Xenopus tropicalis: one gene and its partner. The protein of the gene in region 2 purifies or fractionates together with the protein of the main gene of each other region. This does not show direct contact. Links are inferred from orthologs where the notes say so. Each region holds a gene or a part of one and is shown on either strand. Other genes may lie near its edges.

Region 1 (12,491 bases), on a different chromosome or scaffold from region 2:
AAGTTATTTGAAGGTTTGTTAAGGAATTATATTCAAGAGTATGTTCTGGAGTATGGTATTATGAGTAGGTATCAGCATGGATTTATGAAGGACAGATCATGTCAAACAAATATAATTGCTTTTTATGATGAAGTAGGATGTTGGACAGTAGGGGTGCATTTTGTCAATGGTGCATTCTTAGCAGGGTGCCACAGAGTTCTATACTGGGTCCAGCTGATGTAGTAAGCTCGGTGTAGTACCCAGCTATGTTCCTGGCAGTCTCCCTTGCCCCCCACCCCCCAATACCAATGGGTTCCAGTGATGCCGATGCCCCCATAAAGCCTCAGATAAACAGTAATGGGAACCATCATAGTACACACAGAACACACGTGGAGGCAGAATGATTTTTTATTGATGATGAGAGTAACAGTGACAGTAATGAATGTTGCATTGGTCCCAGACATGAGAATGGAGGGTAAAGAGGAGGGAGGGATACAGAGGAGGGGGGGATACAGAGGAGGGGAGGATACAGAGGAGGGGGGGATACAGAGGAGGGGAGGATAGAGAAGGAGGGGGGGATACAGAGGAGGGGGGATACAGAGGAGGGGAGGATACAGAGGAAGGGAGGATATAGAGGAGGGGAGGATACAGAGGAGGGGAGGATACAAAGGAGGGGAGGACAGATACAGAACATTATACAGTATTCACACCCATCCTTCCTGTACAGATATCACAGCATTTACCATATACATAATTATATAGAGAATTACAGCAAACAGAAATGCACTGTCAGTAGAAAATACATTGGACCAGGGGGGTATATTGCTTGGGATGTTCCATTTATCTACAGTCGCTCCAGTTACAACACTAATGAACTGGGGGCTGGTAGGTCAGACTATGGTATGTAAGAGTACTTCGCTCCAGAGGAAATGTTTCAGGGACACGAAAAGTTCATGTCAAGGTTAACTTTGCCTTTAAGCTTGTTTAAAAGACATAAGGGGAATGTGATAAAAGTTGCAAGGGAGGAAGTGCTCTGTACCCAGGACAGCTCCTTGCTGGAGACAACTGGTCTTTGTTTAAAGGAAATGTAAAACCTCAACACATATTAATGTAAAAATTGCTCGTCTGAGCACTTTTGCACTTTTTATTTATTTCAAACTACATTCATTCTAGTTTTCAAGATATTAGGAGTTTGTACACTGCTAATATAATGGATCTAAAGCAACAGCGCCACCTGATGTTTAAGCCTGGAGCTGTCGGCGCAGTAACTGTAACAAAAATAGCGCTGTTGTACAATTAAATAAGATTCAAATGGTGCCAGAAACAAATACAAAATAGCAGGGGATGCCCTTTGTCTGGCTGGAAGGATTTCTGTACTTCTGTACTGTATATTCCCTGTGATTGCCAACGCACGCCGAGAAGCACTTTGGTTCTCCAACTGTGTTTAATATTCTACATACCCCTATACTCTGTATTACAGGCAGTTCTTCCCCCTGATTAGCGTCATTTCTACTCTATCTAATATGGCTACAGAAGTGTATGCTGCATATTTCACAGAAAAAGTCCCTGTCCTGCAGAGCTTACAATCTATTTGTATCCAGAAGAAAAGAACTGTATATTAAGACTCCTCCTATGAGGGGCTGGTAGCTCTGCAATCGGCAAGCTCCTTTTATCATCGATATCCAATCGGCAGCCCCTTCCGCTCTTACTGTGCCACAAATCCCAGCATCCTCCAGAAGCTGCTGTAGTAGCAAAACAGCTTAAAGGAGCAGTAACACCAAAAAATGAATGTGTACAGTAGTACATAATATATTAATTACTTCAATACACTGTAGTTTTTTAATGTTACTGTTCCTTTAAAGGCATAAAGCCTTGTGCTTGGTCAGTAAATGACCCTTATATGCACACAGAACATACACATACAGGGTAATGGAAGCAGGGGTGTGGCCCTCTGGATATTTCTTATCTACAACTCCTAGCAGATATTTCAACAGTTAAAGAGAGGCAGCCCCTGATTTAAAGCGATAACAACACATTTCAATGCAGTGCATACCATATCCACAGAATACATTGTCACTAGGGCCAAGTTGCAACTTTCAGCTGCTAAAATGCTCCACAGACAATATACTGTATTTATAATTAAAACCAAACCCCTCTTAAGTGTTACTTTCCCTTTAAATGACTAAATGGGAGATAAAAGCTACTTGTAGACAAGCTATATGCCCTAACCCTAAGCAAAGCCTAAGGTAGTAGCCGACACATCCAAACAGCTGGAGAAAGGGTTCTGGGGTTAGTGCTTTGCCTAACTACCCACTGAGTGATTTGTAGCAGCTATAAAGCAATGTGTCTGACCTCTCTAAGGGTCCAGCTCCACCATAGCTGCCTTTAATATAGGGCCCACCCACACAAGCAGGTGTCATGTCTCTTTAAGAAAAAAAAATAATAATAATAATAAAAGCACAAGTGTCTTTTGTACAAAATCTACAAGAAATGTAAAAAATAGAAACTATAAAAACATTTTTTCACATAAATTCAATACTTTGTGGTGTGCCATTATATATATTATATATATATATATGTGTGTGTGTGTGTGTTTGTGTATACAAAAACTGTAGAATGAAAATCTGACACTCAGGGAAAATAAATAACGACCGAGATACAAACGCTCCATATAAAAACCTCCATTTCCCACAACGAATAGTGAAAATCACATGCATAGATTTGGGACATAGAGGCACCCACTGATTTAATCAGGTAAAGCTGCTCGGGGTGCTCTTCTGAGCACTTTACATTATTTTATATACATTACAGGGGAACTCCTGCTTTTTGTTGAGCTCCACACAACCCAGAAACCCCTAATATCCCTATCCCTGTAATCTGTTCCTTCAAAAAGTAGGAATAAATACCATTTTTATATGCTGAAATCCAGCTGCAAAACAGTTCTTCTCTTTCTGTATCATTTGAAATCCTGGCAGGGGAGGAGAGACTAAAACTGATGTTACAAATTGTAACAACTTCTCCACAGCTTACAGACAGCATGCAGGAACAACATAACCCATAATGCATTGCACTGTGCCTTATTGACATCATGTGTGCAGGGAATTGTGGGATTTGAAGGATGCAGGCTGAGGATAGAGTTTTATTTGAGTCTCAAAGTAGCCAGCCAGATCAGAAGGGGAACAGGGGGCGGGGCTTAGGGAACTGTTCCAAACCATATTACCGTACATTAAAATCATGGAAAGGCTGCATATTTTTTTAACTGATGTATATTGCAAAGTTACTTGAAATTATGTTTATTTTTTAAAAAGCTCAAGTTGTGTTTAGGTGGAGTTCCCCTTTAATGTACGTGGGTTGATATGCTGTATGTCCCCTTTGTTAAGAGACCAAGACTCACAAACCATTTAATATATCAGAATATACATTGTTCAGATTGTAGCAGAAATGCATCAGGAGACACTTCCTGCAACTTGCGTTTCTGGACAACAGAAGTGGGTGGTGTTCTTGTTCATGATATTACGCATTTAAAACTGCTAATGTCACGAAAGCAAAAAAACAAAAATAATGTCAAGTGCTCGGATGAGCAAATCTGAGAGAAATCTCCACATGTGACATCTGACTAAATGGGCTGTACAGCCAATAGTGCAACACCACACTGATTGTGTCATGCGATTTCACCAATAGGAACTGTAGTGTATCTGTTCACTGCTTAGTCCCCTAATATCTTACCCATAATCAGAAACAATAGCTAAAATCCTAAATGACTAAAAAATACACAGATACAATTCCCTTTTACCGTTCGGCATCCCCAGACCCTCGGTTCCGGATATCTCTATATTCACAAATAAATATTTAAATAAATATTCAGACACGATGACACTAAGCGCTGACTACAAACATTCTCATTGGTTATTTTTGGTACTAACACTGGGCCAAAGCTGACCAATGCACTAACCTGTAGCAATCAATCAACATTTTATTGGGATACTGCCTGAAGAACAATGACAGTAGGATTTGGTTGCTAAGGGTTACTGCACTGGTGCCAGTTTGCTCCATGTTAGTAAATGAGGCCTTTTGTTTTTCTGGCTAGGCCCAACCCCCCCTGCATCTCCCAGAACCTCCCACTGGGTTATGTCTCACTACTTGCAGAGGGAACAGGACACATTGGGCAGATCTATCCTTAGCCTGCAGTTACTGCCTTATTCCTACAGATAAACTGCACGGAGATTGGATAAACCTTAAACCAGGCTAAAGCAATCTTTCATTGAAACTCCCAGCAACCCTTTCTACCCTCGTGGCTAGCTGACAGTGCTGGGAGTCTGCATAATGCCTCTAAGAAGGAGTGTCTCGGCTAACATGCCGCTGGTGTGTCTTGTGCAGTAAGTTGCAATTGATTGTATTCCAGGTAATTGCCCTTTGCCCCAAAGCAGTGGAACATCACAAAGGGTGACAATATATCTAAGTGAATGTACTGAAATCAGCAGTTATCCGAGCGCGCCGGGGGTGGCCCAAACGCACACAGTTTCCCCTCACAGTGCGCACGTTTCCTTTCTGCCCTTTACCATTGGTGATGCCCAGATAATCAGCCCCGCACGTTGTCATGTGACCTACGCTTCCTCCCAGAAGACACGGCATAGGCTTTACTATCTACCAGCTTTGTGCATATTCATTTTTCTCAGTCAAGATACTAAAATACTAGCACCTTAACAGTCACTGAAATGTACAGGTCATGGGCAACTCATAACCCACTGGGTAGCCACAGGGGCCATAACATAAATAATATATTAGCCTTTTTTTTTTTTTTTACCCAACCCATTTGGCTTAATTTCCAATATCTGCCTAGAGCATCACTACCTGCTCTAGAAATATCCACTGAAAAACCTATATAAAAGGATATAATGACTAAAATAACAATGAAGAAGGCTTATGGGCAGATAAAGAACCCACGTAACTGGCCAAATGTCCTGCTGTGCTCGGTCCAATACAAATTCCCCTGCAGCACTGTAGTTAGCAGCTCCCTCGCGTCACGGTATTACCCTCATGTAATATGATGAGCAGCGGTATATACCGGTAAGTGCGGTGCCTTGGCTAGAGCTGCCTCATTGCTACAGTATCGCACACTTCGGGCCGCCCCACAGGAACCATTGTTCTCAGACGGCAGAGGAGGACTGGGTGCTTCCAATGGTTAAACCTTCTTCCTGCACAGGGACCTGTTAATACAATAAAATGCTGGTAAGGAGGAGCTGGGTACAATTTATATAGACACTGAGCCCCTTTTCATTAGAAAATGCCAATTCACTTCAAACTGCCCTATGGCAGTAAGCGCTGACAAGAATGGCATCCACATCAGCGCACTCAAGGAGCAGACTTTGGCCACTAGGAGACATGCAGCACAACCCCAAGTTTATGTTCCCGGATTTTACTTTTTCCCGGAATTGATGCCGTTTCCCCTGGGAAACATAAAATTTGGGTTCTACTTTGGGTAAAATGAGTATTTTCTGTCCTAGATTACCCTTGAAGCCCACCTTCCATTACAACACTTGATTGAGGTCCTAGATATTTTTGGAGCCAAAGCTACATAAGCAATTGCTTTGTAAGATCAGTAACTTGTTATGAGCTATTGGGGTCCCTGGCTAATCGGTGGGCCTTAAAGGGGAGGCTTAATTTGAAGATGGCCCCTGGTGCATCAAGGATTGCTGAAGGGATTCCATTTTCCTGGGAATGTAACCCTTTCTAATTGTAGCTATCCCCACATGCCCAGTAATGCCAGGAAGCTGCAGCAGCAGCTGAAGAAGCCATCTTTAGAGCTAAGGGTAGCGCTTATGGACAATCATTGAACTCCAGCAAACAGGTACATTTTCTAGTGTCTTTTTGGGTAAAGTTGCATCTTTATTTAGCTATTAGGGTGGGCAAGAAGAACTTATTATGGGAGAACGAAACCTCAACAAAAATCAGGGTAAAAATGATGTGCTTCTGTAGCAGCCCAAGGCCACCCCAGCCCTTTAGCAGGGGTGATCTGTGCCTCTGTAGATGCCCCCAGCAGCCCCCCATCTTTTTTCTCATGATTAACTGCACGTTCACTGTGTTGCTGTCACTTACTTAAGCTTAGGAACTGACTAAACTTAGCTTGTCAGCAGCAGCCCCAGAGCCCACTGAGCACGTGCGGTGCCACTGACACACAAATGATGGCCTAACAAAATCCAAGATGGGGTGCTGCTGTGGAAAACTGTAAATGACTGAATCGTAACTGCTATAGGGCCGCTGCACTGGTACAGTAAGTTTACAGCATTACTACTGAATTTATTTAGTTATAAGGCCAGGACAATTTATGATTAGGCAATAAACCTGTAAATTGAAATGTAAGGTGTCTTTGGGCTGTGTATATTATATGCCCATCTCCATTATAATGTGTATCATGGATCTACCTAGTATAAGCACTAAATTAAAAAAATCAGAATACCGCGCAGAAAAAGTGCTTATGTGCTACAGGCAGTGGTAGCTTTGTCTGTTCCTGTGCTGGGAGCTCTTCTGCTTGCACAGAGACACGGACTGTCTGCTGGTAGTGTGACTGCCCTGCTTTTTTCCCATATAGATATAGAAATTGACACATCAGCCTCTTTATAACTGATCAGTAGCCTCTAAGCACAATATTGGGAGAGAAAAAAAGGGCTTATGTCCTGCTGCACTGTGATCACAAGGTCAGAAAGTGCCTATCAAATGCCTAGCCCTAGGCTTCTATTAAATACCCCTGTTGTGTTATGTGCATGGTATAACAACAACAGAATATCAATACTTACAGATTTCAATTCTGACTTTGTGATTCCCGCATTTATATTATGTCTTTTGAGGTCGGATCTGATCAGAGCTGCAAAACAAAATTCACAAGAAAGAGTTTGAGTCTCTAAAGACTCTACATAAACAATTAAACATTAAATAAACCCAACAGGATTGATTTGCCTCCAATAAGGGGTAATTATATCTTAGTTGGGATCAAGTACAGGTACTGTTTTATTATTACAGAGAAAAGGGAATCATTTAACCACTAAATAAACCCAATAGGGCTGTTCTGCCCCAATAAGGGGTAATTATATCTTAGTTGGGATCAAGTACAGGTACTGTTTTATTATTACAGAGAAAAGGGAATCATTTAACCATGAAATAAACCCAATAGGGCTGATCTGCCCCCAATAAGGGGTAATTATATCTTAGTTGGGATCAAGTACAGGTACTGTTTTATTATTACAGAGAAAAGGGAATCATTTAAACATGAAATAAACCCAATAGGGCTGTTCTGCCCCCAATAAGGGGTAATTATATCTTAGTTGGGATCAAGTACAGGTACTGTTTTATTATTACAGAGAAAAGGGAATCATTTAACCATTAAATAAACCCAATAGGGCTGTTCTGCCCCCAATAAGGGGTAATTATATCTTAGTTGGGATCAAGTACAGGTACTGTTTTATTATTACAGAGAAAAGGGAATCATTTAACCATTAAATAAACCCAATAGGATTGATTTGCCTCCAATAAGGATTAATTATCCTATTTTATTATTACAGAGCAAAAGAGGAAATCCAATTTAAAAAAAATGTAATTATTTGATTAAATGGCGTCTAAGGCAGATGGCCTTCCTGTAACCCTGTATAATGGGTTTCTGGATAACGGATCCTATACCTGTACTGTCAGTGTATCTATTTTTTGGGGTGCCATGCTGCTTGCAATTCACACACACACACATATATATATACATACATATATATATATATATATTCACAATAAATAATTGCATATATTAAACATACATAAAAACATACAACCAATACAAGAGGCTAAAATGGCCCTGCCCAAAAAAATAGCAGTATATAATATATATCCCGACTCACTGAAACCCCGTTATAAAATATGAGGATATTAGAAGACATCTCGGAGCTCCATGACCTTTATAAAATCATGGAACTCCTCAGTGCCTTATAGTATCCTTATATTTTAGAAGAGGGGGTACATTATTCACTCTATAATGTATAGGTGGCATCCGGTATATACAATCGCATGACTTGTTTGAATCAGAAGAGGTAGAAATGTTGCTTGGGAGCAGTAACCCGGTAACCAATCATTATTTTCCTTGTGCTGTTCTTATTGGGGGTGATGGAGTTTAATAAGAGGAAGCCCAGCCTGGGCATTCTTGGCACTCACTCTTTGTTAGGCTGTCATTGAGTGCACAGTACACACAGGGATAGATACTGTATCTCACTTATGCAATAAGCAAACACAGTAGGAAATCTCTGGCCAGATCTAATGGCTGTCTCAGCCAACAATGGAACAAACCCATTACTGACTCACATTGCACAGCACTGTGCCCCTGCCAGCATTCTGCACCCTGGGATGTTGGCACAGCAGTTATGGCTACATAGCAACAACTACAGTTCTAAGCAGCCAACAATGTAATGAACCAATTAAATTAAAGTTATTGGGGGGCCCTTTATACTCTATATCACACAGGGCTGAAATATGCCCTATGTGATTATATTTAAATATATATCTTATGACATGTTCATGTGAGTAAGCTGTGTATTAGAATGAAGTGCCAGCTGCAGGCATGCCTAGGAACCTGTCCCAGCCGTGCAACCACCTACGCATTACTATTGACACAACAGGTGTGCTAAGGGCACCCTCCTCTCCATCCAGCTGAATAAACACACTGCAAGCAATTCCTACGGCAGCAGAACAAAGGATTCCTTGGAGCATACAATTAGCTGAGGGGTACAGACAAATAATGTATATTGGATTGCACATATATATATATATATATATATATTGTGCTGGCCAACCCTGGGTTATGTATAGCGTCTCTCTAGGTCATCAGGGAACACCCAGAACTCTGGGGACCACAGGAACATAACATTATATATATCATAATGCTGCATTACTAAGCACCCCTTTCTATTTATTAGTATCACACCCTAATAACCAACAGCAGCCATTGTTTAAACCTAATCCCAACAAGTTGGAACTCCCTGGCTGCACACAATACACACAATACACACACAATACAATCTAAAAAAAAAAGTCTTATTATTGAAATAAGAAACCTGATACATCTTATGGCAGGATATTATTTTTCAGTGAAGAAGGTATAACTGCACAGCCCTTTGGCTACAGTGAGCTGTAGCTCCAGCAATCCCAGTCATTAATGGCTAGAAGAGCATGCTGGGAATTGGTGTTATGAAAGGCTGGATGGCTATTGGTTTTATATAGCACATGCTGTAATATTTAGCCATACATCCCTTTCAGGCCCTGGATAGAATATTATCTATCTGTAGTGATTTTTCAGGATGGGGGAAGCAATTATCCCTTGCACCCTTCACTTCTTGCTGTGTTATAGCAATGTTGAGCTTCCTTTGAATGGTGCACTGCCAGAGCATTCCCCTGTGACCCAGCTATCCCAAACAGCACTGCTATTGCCTCCCAACTAGAACTACAACTCCCAGCTTACCAGCATCAGTGCTGCCTTTTGGGCATACTGGGAAGTTCGGAAACTATATTACTATTCCTTAGCAAACACCTTTCCAGCACAGGAAACCCATCCCTGTTTCCATGACGGCAGGTAATGTGCGTCGTGAGATCGGCGCTGTTGGAAGAGGCCCAGTTCTGTGCAAGTTATGTAAGTGCCTAGGGCCGCAAAGTCATTGCCAAACTATCACTAAGCTTTCAGGTAGGGCAGATGCAGACAGGCAGCACCCAATTCCTTTCTGCCCCCACCTGGCTGCTCAGACTTTGGAAATCAACTCTTTGCAAATGATTAGGTGCCTGGCAGTCTCAAAACAACATTGTATTTCCATTAAAGGGAAAGTATACCCACAGACTAACAGTAATCAGCAAAGCATATCTTAAACTGGTCCTAAAGGTGCCCATACAAGTTAATATTCGCTCACTTGGCGAGGTCGCCAAGCGAGCGGATCTTCACCCAATATCCCCACCTTACGAGTGAGCAATATCGGGGAGCGTGTAGGCGAATTATATTGGCGGCAATGGGGCAGTAGGTTTGGAGACCGCATCAACGAGCCAATGCGGTCCCCGATCAGACTAGATTTTCTAACCTGCCCGATCAAGATCTGCCCAATTTCAGGCCAGATATCGGTCGGGCAGGCCCGTTGGTAGTGCCTATACACGGGCCGATTAGCTGCCGAATCAGTCTAAGGGACCGATATCGGCAGCTAGAACTGGCCCGTGTATGGGGACCTTTAACCAGAAACGTACCTGACATAATCTAACTACAACAAGCAACATGCTGGGAGTTGAAATTCAGTGACATCTGGAGGAAAACATTGGCTTCCGTCATCCTTCCATAGCTGTAAATACCCTTTCAAGTCTGGCATTCTAAAGGTATAATTTGAGGGCATGAACTGTCAAACAGGGTCATAAATGTAGCTCTACATGAAAGGGTGACTGTGTATAAAAAGTAGAATAGGGAGGTGCTATGATACAGTACAGACAGAGACTAGTGGTCTCTAATATTCTCATCTCTCTGACCATCAGCAATAAGCTCTAGGGATTAAGGGCTATGGCACATATGGCAGTTAGAGATATCTCTGCTACGGACTCGCACCATGAGACCTTAGGGTTGTCCAGAATGCCAGGCAGCGTGTTCCAGAACCAGACAGACCAACGTGCAGGTTTCCGGGACATGCTAGGGTTAATTGATTCTGACTCACCGGATGAACATGAATTTCAGCCAGGAGATCTGCCAGTATCGGCTAACAGTGATACATGAAATATTGTGCCAAGGCAGTTAAATGGGAGGGGAAAGCAGAAGCCCTGGCATGAAATGGGTACTGTGATGCCCTGAGATAAACAGATTGAAACCTCTCTCTATAAAACAGGAGGCTCCACTTGCAAAAGAAAAGCCCCGGCAGCAATGTGAAATTTACTATAACAGTATCCCAGGCTTATAGGCTGTTCCAAATGCCATTTGCACCCAAACAAATAAACTACTTCTTCATAACAAGCATCCTATCTTACACGAGGAAGGTTTTCATTGTATAGTTCTGGAGGCAGCCGTAAATGACAGCTGATCTCTATTTATCCCCCCTGTGTAAGAGCTACACTGTATCTTAAAGGAGAAGGAAAGGTAAATCCACTGGGGTGTGCCCAGGGTATAAGGTAAGCGATTACAATCACTGGGGGGTGCCTAACATTTTGCCACCCCCCCAGTGATTGTACCTTTCCTTCTCCATACACACGTATACATCAGCTTTAAACTCAGCCAGCCTTGATCAAGTTGGCACCCTAATGGTGCATATATGGCCTCAAAATGATACCTAATATGGGCTAATTCAGCTAGTGACAGGATTGGGTGAAAAATCCAGTGGGACACAGACCACCATCTAGCTGTATGCTCCCATCATTTTGAGCCTGATTCCCTGTGCTAGACTCCATTGTTTGTGTGTGATTCTATGAGTCCAGGGGGTATACTTATCAAAGAATGAAGTTAGAGTTTGCCAAAGTCCCCTAGAGTGAAATTCCATCACTCTCCATTCATTTCTATGGGATTTTTATAATACCCCCAGGTATGAACCGAACTGTTCTATAACTAACTGTCCAATGATGCCCCACTGTCCAGCCTCTCTTGCCATCACACTCTAGTGAGAGATATTCTTTTATAAAAAGAAGGTTTGGTCGAATGCACTTCATGGGAGTCCCTACAGACATACTGTGATCACTGTGTGGAGATCACCTTGGCTTGTAGGAGACATGCCCTGTGCCTAGTTCTCATACAATATGGAACCCTTTAATCACAGCGTTAGTCCCGGACACCTATTTAAGCATTTTCAGCCGCTGGTAACACAAACTCACCTGTTAGTATGATACCCACAAACATCCAGGCGCACAGAAAGATGTTCCCAGCTTGTGGATTGTAGTCTGTAGTCAGTTTCCCTTGGGCTAATGTGAATAAAATCCCAAATATCTGAAAGGAGAACAGCCAATAAATACCCTGTGTGAAGTCCCTGCATGCTACAAGCAGCCACATTCATGTTCATGAAGAAGTTAGCTCTGTATTAGGGAGTGTTTTCCTTTTGTACCGCTTTGTAACATCAGGCTCTCTATTTGTAACCAAGAAGACTCCCCCTAAAAAGTACCCATGGCATTGGTTTTGCTATAGGAGCCTGATGCCACAGGTTAGGTTAACTACAGAATCAGAATTTAAATATTAAGATGATAATTTTGTATAAAGAAATATATACAGTGATTGGTTAGACAGGGGCAATTGCAAGAAAAGGGAGTCACACACACTAACGTTGCTTAGGGGCCAGGCCCGGACTGGCAATCTGTGGATAATGGCAAATGCCAGAGGGGCTGCTGTAAGATGCCATAGACAGTCACTATTTAGTGTTTGGGCCTCTGTGTACTTGGAATGCCAGGGCCTATCTTGAAGCCAAGTCCAAACCTGACTGCTACTGTATGAGGCTGACATGTGAAGGATTGGCTGCACTGATACATAAGGGACAGGAGAGATA
Region 2 (12,682 bases):
CTAAAATCCCAAATGGAGAGCTGCTGAACATAAAACTAAATAACTGAAAACCATAAAACATATGACCATAAAAAATGAAGACCAATTGCAAATTGTCTCAGAATATCACTGTCTTGGTGATAGAAAATGTCAATTTAAAGATGAAACTCCCGACAGCTTCGTCCTACTAAATGTGACTTCTAAGGCAAACTTTCCCTTGAATCGCAAGGTCCTTTCGCGGAGCCCTTAGTAATATATATATATATATATATAAGAGGAATATTTAAGTTATTTTGGGGGGGCAAAGCAGAAACCAAACTGCAATACAGTGGGGGGAATCGTCCCTGCTGCCCCCTATTGGAAGACAAGGTCTATGTAGAACGGATAGGGAGTGTGAGACCCCTACTGGCAGGTATGGGTACAGCGCCGGTTATTACAGACTATAAAGTCAGTATATTCTAGTGTAAGAATTAGTGGTTTATCCTCTGCAAATTCAGCTAAAGTTTCATTTATCGGATGGGGGGGGCACTTGTGGGTATATCTGCCCCTGTATTTATTACATTGTCATCTTCTGTACCATGGGATATACCTGCCCCACTTGCACCTCAGCCTTTGTAAATAACCCCTTATATGCCTTTCATTCAGCGACATAAATATCTCAGTGACCCTATGCAGCCGGGGTTAAAGGGCAAGTTAAGCCAAAAGCGTATTCTCCCATAATCACTTCAGTCTGGATGAGGCCTTTACCTTGTGTTGCTCCAGGTCCTACTGGGTTTGCCTGTTAGTGACCAGCACACGGTGGGACCGGACGTGGCCCCCCAATAAAGATTCCTATACGGGGCCCAATCGTCAGCTTCTCAGGGCCCCTGTATCTCACAACGCTACACACAGGGCACAACCTTTCTTGTTTCATTCATTGTGGGGCTTAAGTTGCCCTTTAACCCTTTTCTGCCCATAAAGCAGCGACATTTGGGCCAGACCACAAAGCACTGTGCCACACTGGCGTGGGACCCGCCATTCACTATAAGGCTACACACACACGGAGCCATTTTATGCCCAAAGCGCTTCAACCCCGTGTGTATGAGCCCCAAGTACAAGCCATCTCTGCGCAGACAATCCGCCTCCTGAGCAAACTGCGAGCATTATTATATATTATATCATATTTATACTGCTACAAATATTTAGGAATTCGTATTTTTTGTAACCTTAGAGCTGTGCTGCCTGCGCTCCTTAAAGGGCCAGTACCTCAATATGCGCAACAAGCTGCATGAACTAAACCATTCGCTGCCTTTACCTCATTCAGATCAGCCAATCAAATTGTAGAACACATTCAGCAGCGGCGCACAGCGATGATGTGTTTCCTATAGGTGGGAAAGGTACTGGGGCTGGGGGGGGGGGGCAAATAGCAAGGGAGGGCACCCCGACACCTCTTTATTTGTTTGATATAATTATATATGTGTATAATGTGCCCTTTGTCTTTGTGGCAAGTTTATTTCTAATAAAGCAAACTTTTAAACTACATGTGTGAAACCTGTGTGTATCGACCGCCCCACCCACCCACCCACCCACTCACCCACCAACTCACCCACTCACTCACCCACCCACCCACTCACTCCCCCCCCCACCCACTCACTCACCCACCCACTGTATTAATTAGGGTCTTCTCTGGGACCAGCATAGCAGCCTTACTCACTGCCACCTCCATAATAGTACAGAAGGAGAAAATCTAATTAATACTGAGAACACCGGGTCATATTCATAAGAGAACTCTGAGTATCACTCATGTATTATAAGGGACAATGTACCCCCTACTGTAAATGATAAGGATATTAGCAGTCACTGAGGGGTTCTGTGCCCCCCATATAAAGGCACAAGGCTGCAGGCTGAGTTATACAGGGAACTCTGAGTATCACTCATGTATTATAAGGGATAATGTACCCCCTACTGTAAATGATAAGGATATTAGCAGTCACTGAGGGGTTCTGTGCCCCCCATATAAAGGCACAAGGCTGCAGGCTGAGTTATACAGGGAACTCTGAGTATCACTCATGATAGAATCAGAGAGTTTATTGTATGGCCCCTTATATATTTATATATAGTGACCCCCCCCCCTTAACTGCCCCCCCCCCCAGTGTAACCAATCCCAACTGGGCCAGCCTTTCCCCATAACTGAGCCCATTCCCTTTATCAGCTTAGTCGCTCTTCCCTGTACTTTCTCTATTTCATTACTGCCCCCCCCCTTATATATTTATATATAGTGACCCCCCCTTAACTGCCCCCCCCCCCGTGTAACCAATCCCAACTGGGCCAGCCTTTCCCCATAACTGAGCCCATTCCCTTTATCAGCTTAGTCGCTCTTCCCTGTACTTTCTCTATTTCATTACTGCCCCCCCTTATATATTTATATATAGTGACCCCCCCTTAACTGCCCCTTCCCCAGTGTAACCAATCCCAACTGGGCCAGCCTTTCCCCATAACTGAGCCCATTCCCTTTATCAGCTTAGTCGCTCTTCCCTGTACTTTCTCTATTCATTACTGCCCCCCCCCTTATATATTTATATATAGTGACCCCCCCTTAACTGCCCCCCCCCCCCGTGTAACCAATCCCAACTGGGCCAGCCTTTCCCCATAACTGAGCCCATTCCCTTTATCAGCTTAGTCGCTCTTCCCTGTACTTTCTCTATTTCATTACTGCCCCCCCCTTATATATTTATATATAGTGACCCCCCCTTAACTGCCCCCCCCCCCCGTGTAACCAATCCCAACTGGGCCAGCCTTTCCCCATAACTGAGCCCATTCCCTTTATCAGCTTAGTCGCTCTTCCCTGTACTTTCTCTATTTCATTACTGCCCCCCCCCTTATATATTTATATATAGTGACCCCCCCTTAACTGCCCCCCCCCCCCGTGTAACCAATCCCAACTGGGCCAGCCTTTCCCCATAACTGAGCCCATTCCCTTTATCAGCTTAGTCGCTCTTCCCTGTACTTTCTCTATTTCATTACTGCCCCCCCCTTATATATTTATATATAGTGACCCCCCCTTAACTGCCCCCCCCCCAGTGTAACCAATCCCAACTGGGCCAGCCTTTCCCCATAACTGAGCCCATTCCCTTTATCAGCTTAGTCGCTCTTCCCTGTACTTTCTCTATTTCATTACTGCCCCCCCTTATATATTTATATATAGTGACCCCCCCTTAACTGCCCCCCCCCCAGTGTAACCAATCCCAACTGGGCCAGCCTTTCCCCATAACTGAGCCCATTCCCTTTATCAACTCAGTCGCTCTTCCCTGTACTTTCTCTATTTCATTACTGCCCCCCCCCTTATATATTTATATATAGTGACCCCCCCTTAACTGCCCCCCCCCCAGTGTAACCAATCCCAACTGGGCCAGCCTTTCCCCATAACTGAGCCCATTCCCTTTATCAGCTTAGTCGCTCTTCCCTGTACTTTCTCTATTTCATTACTGCCCCCCCCCTTATATATTTATATATAGTGACCCCCCACCTTAACTGCCCCCCCCCCAGTGTAACCAATCCCAACTGGGCCAGCCTTTCCCCATAACTGAGCCCATTCCCTTTATCAACTCAGTCGCTCTTCCCTGTACTTTGTTTACAGAAAGTTTGAAATAAAAACATTTATATTGGGAACATTTTATGTGACATTTCAGCCCCCCCCCAATGAGCCCATAATGCCCCTCACAAGCGTCAGTCTCACAGTTCAGCTTGGGGGGCCCCACTGTGCCCAGCCCGGTGCCATACAGGGCAAGTTGTTTCCCAGTCGCACGCTGTGGGGCAATTAATATGGGAGGAAGTGAGAGCAGACTGTGACATTTAGATGGGGGGGAGTAATGAAAGGGCTGCAGCTCTCAGCATGTCCCCCCCAGGCTGGGCCCAGAGACACAGGAACCCCCCGCCATGGGGAGAGCTGGCAGCTCCGGCCGGTCGTGACGATGAGGAGAAATTCCCTATTTCAGCTCTGTGGGTCACTCATGAAATAATAACTGGGGGGGGGGGGGATCGGCAGGAACATCAGCGAGTGAAAGAGCTGAATATAAAGACACAGAGCAGAACCAGCGCCTCCGATACCGACTGGGTTCTTGGCTGGCGCAGGAGTGAATACCAAGTAGATTTGCCCCTCCTAATGCAACTGGACCTTGTGTTCCGTCCAACTGGGCCAGCCTTTCCCCCTAACTGAGCCCCTTATATATTTATATATAGTGACCCCCCCTTAACTGCCCCTTCCCCAGTGTAACCAATCCCAACTGGGCCAGCCTTTCCCCATAACTGAGCCCATTCCCTTTATCAGCTTAGTCGCTCTTCCCTGTACTTTCTCTATTTCATTACTGCCCCCCCTTATATATTTATATATAGTGACCCCCCCCTTAACTGCCCCTTCCCCAGTGTAACCAATCCCAACTGGGCCAGCCTTTCCCCATAACTGAGCCCATTCCCTTTATCAGCTTAGTCGCTCTTCCCTGTACTTTCTCTATTTCATTACTGCCCCCCTTATATATTTATATATAGTGACCCCCCCCTTAACTGCCCCTTCCCCAGTGTAACCAATCCCAACTGGGCCAGCCTTTCCCCATAACTGAGCCCATTCCCTTTATCAGCTTAGTCGCTCTTCCCTGTACTTTCTCTATTTCATTACTGCCCCCCCTTATATATTTATATATAGTGACCCCCCCTTAACTGCCCCTTCCCCAGTGTAACCAATCCCAACTGGGCCAGCCTTTCCCCATAACTGAGCCCATTCCCTTTATCAGCTTAGTCGCTCTTCCCTGTACTTTCTCTATTTCATTACTGCCCCCCTTATATATTTATATATAGTGACCCCCCCTTAACTGCCCCTTCCCCAGTGTAACCAATCCCAACTGGGCCAGCCTTTCCCCATAACTGAGCCCATTCCCTTTATCAGCTTAGTCGCTCTTCCCTGTACTTTCTCTATTTCATTACTGCCCCCCCTTATATATTTATATATAGTGACCCCCCCCTTAACTGCCCCTTCCCCAGTGTAACCAATCCCAACTGGGCCAGCCTTTCCCCATAACTGAGCCCATTCCCTTTATCAGCTTAGTCGCTCTTCCCTGTACTTTCTCTATTTCATTACTGCCCCCCCTTATATATTTATATATAGTGACCCCCCCCCCTTAACTGCCCCTTCCCCAGTGTAACCAATCCCAACTGGGCCAGCCTTTCCCCATAACTGAGCCCATTCCCTTTATCAGCTTAGTCGCTCTTCCCTGTACTTTCTCTATTTCATTACTGCCCCCCCTTATATATTTATATATAGTGACCCCCCCTTAACTGCCCCTTCCCCAGTGTAACCAATCCCAACTGGGCCAGCCTTTCCCCATAACTGAGCCCATTCCCTTTATCAGCTTAGTCGCTCTTCCCTGTACTTTCTCTATTTCATTACTGCCCCCCCTTATATATAGTGACCCCCCCTTAACTGCCCCCCCCCCAGTGTAACCAATCCCAACTGGGCCAGCCTTTCCCCATAACTGAGCCCATTCCCTTTATCAGCTTAGTCGCTCTTCCCTGTACTTTCTCTATTTCATTACTGCCCCCCCTTATATATTTATATATAGTGACCCCCGCCCCTTAACTGCCCCTTCCCCAGTGTAACCAATCCCAACTGGGCCAGCCTTTCCCCATAACTGAGCCCATTCCCTTTATATATATTATTATATTTTGCTGTTTCAGTGAATATGAATGGTATGAATTCTCGGCTCGTTACAGAAGAAGCACTAAAGCCCCCGAGTGGGGGGAGAGGGAAGACAAACAGGGGCAGGTGGGCCGGGGGGGGCGCCTCGTGGGGCGAATGGAATGAGTCAGTCACTGACAAATTGGAGAGAAGATTTTCTCATCGTGTTGCCATGGAAACACAGTCCAACTGGAGAGGGTCGGCCTCGCTGGAACAGAAAAATCAATATTAGTCAGCGAAAACCACAGAATAATCGTCATGTAGTGTGTGTGCCGCGGCAACCGGGTCACATGGAGCGGCCGCTGGGTCTGACACGTGCGCAGCCTCCATAATGGGCTCCATGGAAATGATTCTGTCCTATGGGAACAAGTTACGTTACAATTTACGCAATGTACGTAACTAAAAGAAAACTACGTAACTTGTGTATCAAGCAAAAGCCAATGCGGCGACAAACCCCACTGCCCCCCAATGTACCGACTTATTAGCACATTCATTATTTTTGCTGTTTTTATGAACTTCTCCTCAGGTTATTGGGCCCCTAAACTGACCCAGTGCAGCGCAGGGGCAGGTAGTGGGAAGGGGTTAACTGATCCCCAATAAACAGAGTGACTATATAAATAACTTGTATGGGGCCCCAAAGTCTCTCACAGTGTCCCTGTTAGTACATAAAGGTAAGAGAAAAGCAAGTGCAACATTTTACAAAGCCAAGGTGTGACCGATATCATTACAAAGTGGTACTGAGTCCAACTGCACTGCCTGCTGCACATGGAGAGCAGATAGTGGCAACTATACACTTTGGGTGTGGCTGGGGGGGGGTAACTGGGTGCCAGCAGGTGTATGGGGGGCACTGACCCAGGACCTCAGTGTTGCCCAGTGAGCTTGCATCCTGCTGCCCCCCCAGCTCTCACTAAACTCCCACAAGTGTAACTTAGGAGCAAATCACAGTCTCTGTGTCTGAGTTATTGGGGTTCTGTCTCCCCTGTGTCTGTTCCTGGCTGCAGATGCGCAACCTATTTATTTCTATTCAGTCCCGGAACCATAGTGTCCCTCCTCCAGACTCCGGGCGGAAAGAAACGGGCGATGCACTCCTACCCGGAAGTGGGGCGGAAGTGGGGCAGCGTCTTGTGATGCCAGTAGTCAGCAGATCTATTACGTGAGCTGTAGGTCCGGTTGTGATGATGGCTCGGTACTGGGCACTCCTGGGGATCGCGTTGGTTCTGCTGGCGGTGGCTGTGCAGGGAGGGGCTGGGGATAAGGTGAGTCCGGCCTTTCATTTGTCTCTTCCACTGTCAGCTGGGGGGGCCGGGTAATCATGGGACTGGGGAAGGGGGGTCAGGATGTGGGGAATAGGTTGGAGTCACTGGGGGGGGGGTCAGAGGAATTTGGGATTAGGTTGGAGTGGGTGGGGGTAAATTTGGAGTCAATGGGGGGGTCAATGGATGTGGGGGTCAGTTTGGAGTGAGTGGGGGTCAGTGGAGGTGGGGGTAATTTTGGAGTCAGTGGGTGGGGGATCAGTGGGTGAGTGGGGGTCAGTTTGGAGTCAATGGGTGGGGGGGGGATCAGTGGATGTGGGGGTCAGTTTGGAGTCAATGGGTGGGGGGGGACGGTGGATGTGGGGGTCAGTTTGGAGTCAGTGATTGGGTGGGGGTCAGTTTGGAGTCAGTGGGTGAATGGAGGTAAGTTTGGAGTCAGTGGGTGGGGGGGGGGGATCAGTGGATGTGGGGGTCAGTTTGGAGTCAGTGGGTGGGGGTCAGTTTGGAGTCAGTGGGTGGGGGTCAGTTTGGAGTCAGTGGGTGGGGGTCAGAGGAGTTTGGGGGGTGCAAAGTGTAGGGGTCCATGAATAATTGTAGGAATCAGTAGGGAAGAGAGTTGGCAGAAAGTGTGGGGGGGTCACTGGGGGCAGTTAGTGACAGTCCCACATATTTGGGACTGAGGAAGAGACAGCGCAGAGCTAAAAAGGGCAAGATGTTTCCCCAACTGCTTCTAAAGTGCAGGGAAATCAGCACAAAACCTGCAGCCAATCAGGCGCCCACAGTCCAGCTGGGAACTTGGTTCTCCCAGAAGCCCTGACCAACTGCAGGGCTGTAAGTACACCCATTGAATCCACATGCTGCGCCGGTAATTAGCAATTTGGTGTAATATGTGTAACAGTATAACCTTCCCCCTGTATCTTTCCCTGTGTGTAATGAGATCGCTGCAGAGCCTCTTGCCGACGGGGCAAATAGAAATCTGTGCTGTGTTGCAGGATACTGGGAGCTCGGTGGACGCCCGGTGCAAGTGTATTTGCCCCCCCTACAAGGATAAGAAAGGGAACATCTTCAACAAGAACGTGACCCAAAAAGACTGGTAAGGGCTGTTTCATTCGTTTGGGGCTCGTCCCATATTGTGGGGGCGGAGCTTCTCTGCAGGGGAATGTAAATGGGGTGCACAAGTTACCCACATGCCTCAGTATGAATATCTGTATATTGTTCTGCATAGCGACTGTCTCCATGTGGTGGACCCTATGCCAGTCCCGGGGGCCGACGTCGAGGCCTACTGTCTGCGCTGTGAGTGTAAATACGAAGAGAGAAGTTCTTCCACCATCAAGGTAATGCTCCTCCCCCATCAAGGTAATGCTCCTCCCCATCAAGGTAACGCCCCGCCCCCCTTTCCTATAGGTAATAACGGGCCTGGAAATATATTCTGTCCGACTCCAGAACCAGCTCCAAACAGGGAGGAAACAATAAGCATTTGAGAAGCTTAAATTAACTTTCAATAAGACAATTTCAATTGGTCTTTGTTTTTCTATTTTTGATGTTTTTTCAGTTATTTAGGTTTTTGTTCAGCAGCCCTCCATTTGGTATTTTAGCAGCTATCTGGTTGTTAGGGTCCTTTTACCCTAGTAACCAGGCAGCGGTTTAAACAAGAGATGGGAATATGAATAGGGGAGGGGCTGCATAGAAAGATAAGTAATTAACATTAACAAAAACAATAAAACTATAGAAAATGAAGAAGCTGGATATTCGGTTACTGACTTTCCCATCTGCCATTGCCCAGGTGACCATTATAATCTACCTGTCCGTGTTGGGGATGCTCCTCCTCTACATGTTCTACCTGACCATAGTGGAGCCCATGTTGAAGAGGAAGCTCTTTGGTCATTCTCAGCTCATACAGAGTGAAGATGAAGTTGGGGTAAGTGTCAGCTCTGTAGCAGTCTTGGTAATTAGACCTGCCAATCATCCACTGCTGGGTACCGCCCCATCTGTTGCTTCCATACAGCTTATTGTGTGCCCAGAACATTCCTTCTCTGTATATTTGTATTTATACATATGGGTAGGAGGTGCCATAGTGTTTCCCTTAGACAGTACAGTATGGGGGTACAGCTTATTGTGTGCCCAGAACATTCCTTCTCTGTATATTTGTATTTATACATATGGGTAGGGGGTGCCATAGTGTTTCCCTTAGACAGTACAGTATGGGGGTACAGCTTATTGTGTGCCCAGAACATTCCTTCTCTGTATATTTGTATTTATACATATGGGTAGGGGGTGCCATAGTGTTTCCCTTAGACAGTACAGTATGGGGGTACAGCTTATTGTGTGCCCAGAACATTCCTTCTCTGTATATTTGTATTTATACATATGGGTAGGGGGTGCCATAGTGTTTCCCTTAGACAGTACAGTATGGGGGTACAGCTTATTGTGTGCCCAGAACATTCCTTCTCTGTATATTTGTATTTATACATATGGGTAGGGGGTGCCATAGTGTTTCCCTTAGACAGTACAGTATGGGGGTGGAGCTTATTGTGTGCCCAGAACATTCCCTCTCTGTATATTTGTATTTATTCATATGGGTAGGGGGTGCCATAGTGTTTCCCTTAGACAGTACAGTATGGGGGTACAGCTTATTGTGTGCCCAGAACATTCCTTCTCTGTATATTTGTATTTATACATATGGGTAGGGGGTGCCATAGTGTTTCCCTTAGACAGTACAGTATGGGGGTACAGCTTATTGTGTGCCCAGAACATTCCCTCTCTGTATATTTGGGGGGGGGGTGCCATAGTGTTTCCCTTAGACAGTACAGTATGGGGGTACAGCTTATTGTGTGCCCAGAACATTCCCTCTCTGTATATTTGTATTTATACATATGGGTAGGGGGTGCCATAGTGTTTCCCTTAGACAGTACAGTATGGGGGTACAGCTTATTGTGTGCCCAGAACATTCCCTCTCTGTATATTTGGGGGGGGGGGGTGCCATAGTGTTTCCCTTAGACAGTACAGTATGGGGGTACAGCTTATTGTGTGCCCAGAACATTCCCTCTCTGTATATTTGTATTTATACATATGGGTAGGGGGTGCCATAGTGTTTCCCTTAGACAGTACAGTATGGGGGTACAGCTTATTGTGTGCCCAGAACATTCCCTCTCTGTATATTTGTATTTATACATATGGGTAGGGGGTGCCATAGTGTTTCCCTTAGACAGTACAGTATGGGGGTACAGCTTATTGTGTGCCCAGAACATTCCCTCTCTGTATATTTGGGGGGGGGGTGCCATAGTGTTTCCCTTAGACAGTACAGTATGGGGGTACAGCTTATTGTGTGCCCAGAACATTCCCTCTCTGTATATTTGTATTTATACATATGGGTAGGGGGTGCCATAGTGTTTCCCTTAGACAGTACAGTATGGGGGTGGAGCTTATTGTGTGCCCAGAACATTCCCTTCTCTGTATATTTGTATTTATACATATGGGTAGGAGGTACCATAGTGTTTCCCTTAGACAGTACAGTATGGGGGTACAGCTTATTGTGTGCCCAGAACATTCCTTCTCTGTATATTTGTATTTATACATATGGGTAGGGGGTGCCATAGTGTTTCCCTTAGACAGTACAGTATGGGGGTACAGCTTATTGTGTGCCCAGAACATTCCCTCTCTGTATATTTGTATTTATACATATGGGTAGGGGGTGCCATAGTGTTTCCCTTAGACAGTACAGTATGGGGGTACAGCTTATTGTGTGCCCAGAGCATTCCCTCTCTGTATATTTGTATTTATACATATGGGTAGGGGGTGCCATAGTGTTTCCCTTAGACAGTACAGTATGGGGGTACAGCTTATTGTGTGCCCAGAACATTCCCTCTCTGTATATCTGGATAGAGTTTGGGTTTGTTAATGATTGAATATATCAGATAACCAATAATCTGGTGTGTGTGTTTCCAAAGCAGCGCTGATCCCGCTCTCTGTATTTACCATAATCACACAGAGCCATTGTGCAGACTATTAGCTAAATATCAGGAATATTTCCTGCTTTTCTCAGTGCTGGGGGGGGATCGTGGATATTTATTTGTCCTGTTCTGTCTCAGCGCAGTCAGTAATTGTATAATGGAAATCGCAGCATTGCGCCGGGACGTGCCGTTCCTAATAACAGCCGGGGGGGGGGGGGGGGGGTATAATTAGGGGCTTCTTAATCAGTGTCCTCGGCCTTCAGTTACTCCTGTTTGCATTCAGCCTTATTAGGGACTAATTAGTCTTAAATGAAAAGACTCGAGGAGAATCAGATTGAAATGAATGCCTGGATGTACAGCTTGTAATGTCAGGGCAGAGACAGGTGTCCCAGGGTGCTCTAGGGAAAGGGTTTCCTTTATTATTATGGTGTGTTAACCCTTTGCTTGCCAGCAGTCTTTGATTTCGATGGTTTGTTAGTAAGCACACAATGTGCCATAAAGCAGGGCAGGACTGCTGCTTACAATGGGGGGATCAGATAGGATCTGTGCCACTGTGACAGAATGCTCTGTTATACAGATAGCTAGAATCTCAGCCATAAAGCAGGGCAGGACTGCTGCTTACAATGGGGGGGATCAGATAGGATCTGTGCCACTGTGACAGAATGCTCTGTTATACAGATAGCTAGAATCTCAGCCATAAAGCAGGGCAGGACTGCTGCTTACAATGGGGGGATCAGATAGGATCTGTGCCACTGTGACAGAATGCTCTGTTATACAGATAGCTAGAATCTCAGCCATAAAGCAGGGCAGGACTGCTGCTTACAATGGGGGGGATCAGATAGGATCTGTGCCACTGTGACAGAATGCTCTGTTATACAGATAGCTAGAATCTCAGCCATAAAGCAGGGCAGGACTGCTGCTTACAATGGGGGGGATCAGATAGGATCTGTGCCACTGTGACAGAATGCTCTGTTATACAGATAGCTAGAATCTCAGCCATAAAGCAGGGCAGGACTGCTGCTTACAATGGGGGGATCAGATAGGATCTGTGCCACTGTGACAGAATGCTCTGTTATACAGATAGCTAGAATCTCAGCCATAAAGCAGGGCAGGACTGCTGCTTACAATGGGGGGATCAGATAGGATCTGTGCCACTGTGACAGAATGCTCTGTTATACAGATAGCTAGAATCTCAGCCATAAAGCAGGGCAGGACTGCTGCTTACAATGGGGGGGGGGGATCAGATAGGATCTGTGCCACTGTGACAGAATGCTCTGTTATACAGATAGCTAGAATCTCAGCCATAAAGCAGGGCAGGACTGCTGCTTACAATGGGGGGATCAGATAGGATCTGTGTCACTGTGACAGAATGCTCTGTTATACAGATAGCTAGAATCTCAGCCATAAAGCAGGGCAGGACTGCTGCTTACAATGGGGGGATCAGATAGGATCTGTGCCACTGTGGCAGAATGCTCTGTTATACAGATAGCTAGAATCTCAGCCATAAAGCAGGGCAGGACTGCTGCTTACAATGGGGGGATCAGATAGGATCTGTGCCACTGTGACAGAATGCTCTGTTATACAGATAGCTAGAATCTCAGCCATAAAGCAGGGCAGGACTGCTGCTTACAATGGGGGGGATCAGATAGGATCTGTGCCACTGTGACAGAATGCTCTGTTATACAGATAGCTAGAATCTCAGCCATAAAGCAGGGCAGGACTGCTGCTTACAATGGGGGGATCAGATAGGATCTGTGCCACTGTGACAGAATGCTCTGTTATACAGATAGCTA

Evidence for each region.
Region 1: the proteins of tmem9b (region 2) and flvcr1 purify together in Homo sapiens (co-immunoprecipitation; 3 studies listed by BioGRID and IntAct, counting the BioPlex papers as one, with this or other methods). This does not show direct contact. The link is inferred for Xenopus tropicalis from reciprocal best matches to the Homo sapiens genes TMEM9B and FLVCR1.

Annotation. Positions count from the first base shown.
Region 1 is NC_030681.2:14,318,234-14,330,724, forward strand, and holds the end of flvcr1 (feline leukemia virus subgroup C receptor-related protein 1), read right to left. Parts: intron 11,942-12,491; coding exon 11,830-11,941; intron 6,842-11,829; coding exon 6,774-6,841; intron 5,187-6,773; coding exon 5,127-5,186; 3' UTR 3,860-5,126; downstream 1-3,859.
Region 2 is NC_030680.2:4,065,568-4,078,249, reverse strand, and holds the start of tmem9b (transmembrane protein 9B), read left to right. Parts: upstream 1-6,757; 5' UTR 6,758-6,861; coding exon 6,862-6,942; intron 6,943-7,931; coding exon 7,932-8,032; intron 8,033-8,164; coding exon 8,165-8,273; intron 8,274-8,722; coding exon 8,723-8,857; intron 8,858-12,682. UniProt on the Homo sapiens protein: Enhances production of pro-inflammatory cytokines induced by TNF, IL1B, and TLR ligands. Has a role in TNF activation of both the NF-kappaB and MAPK pathways.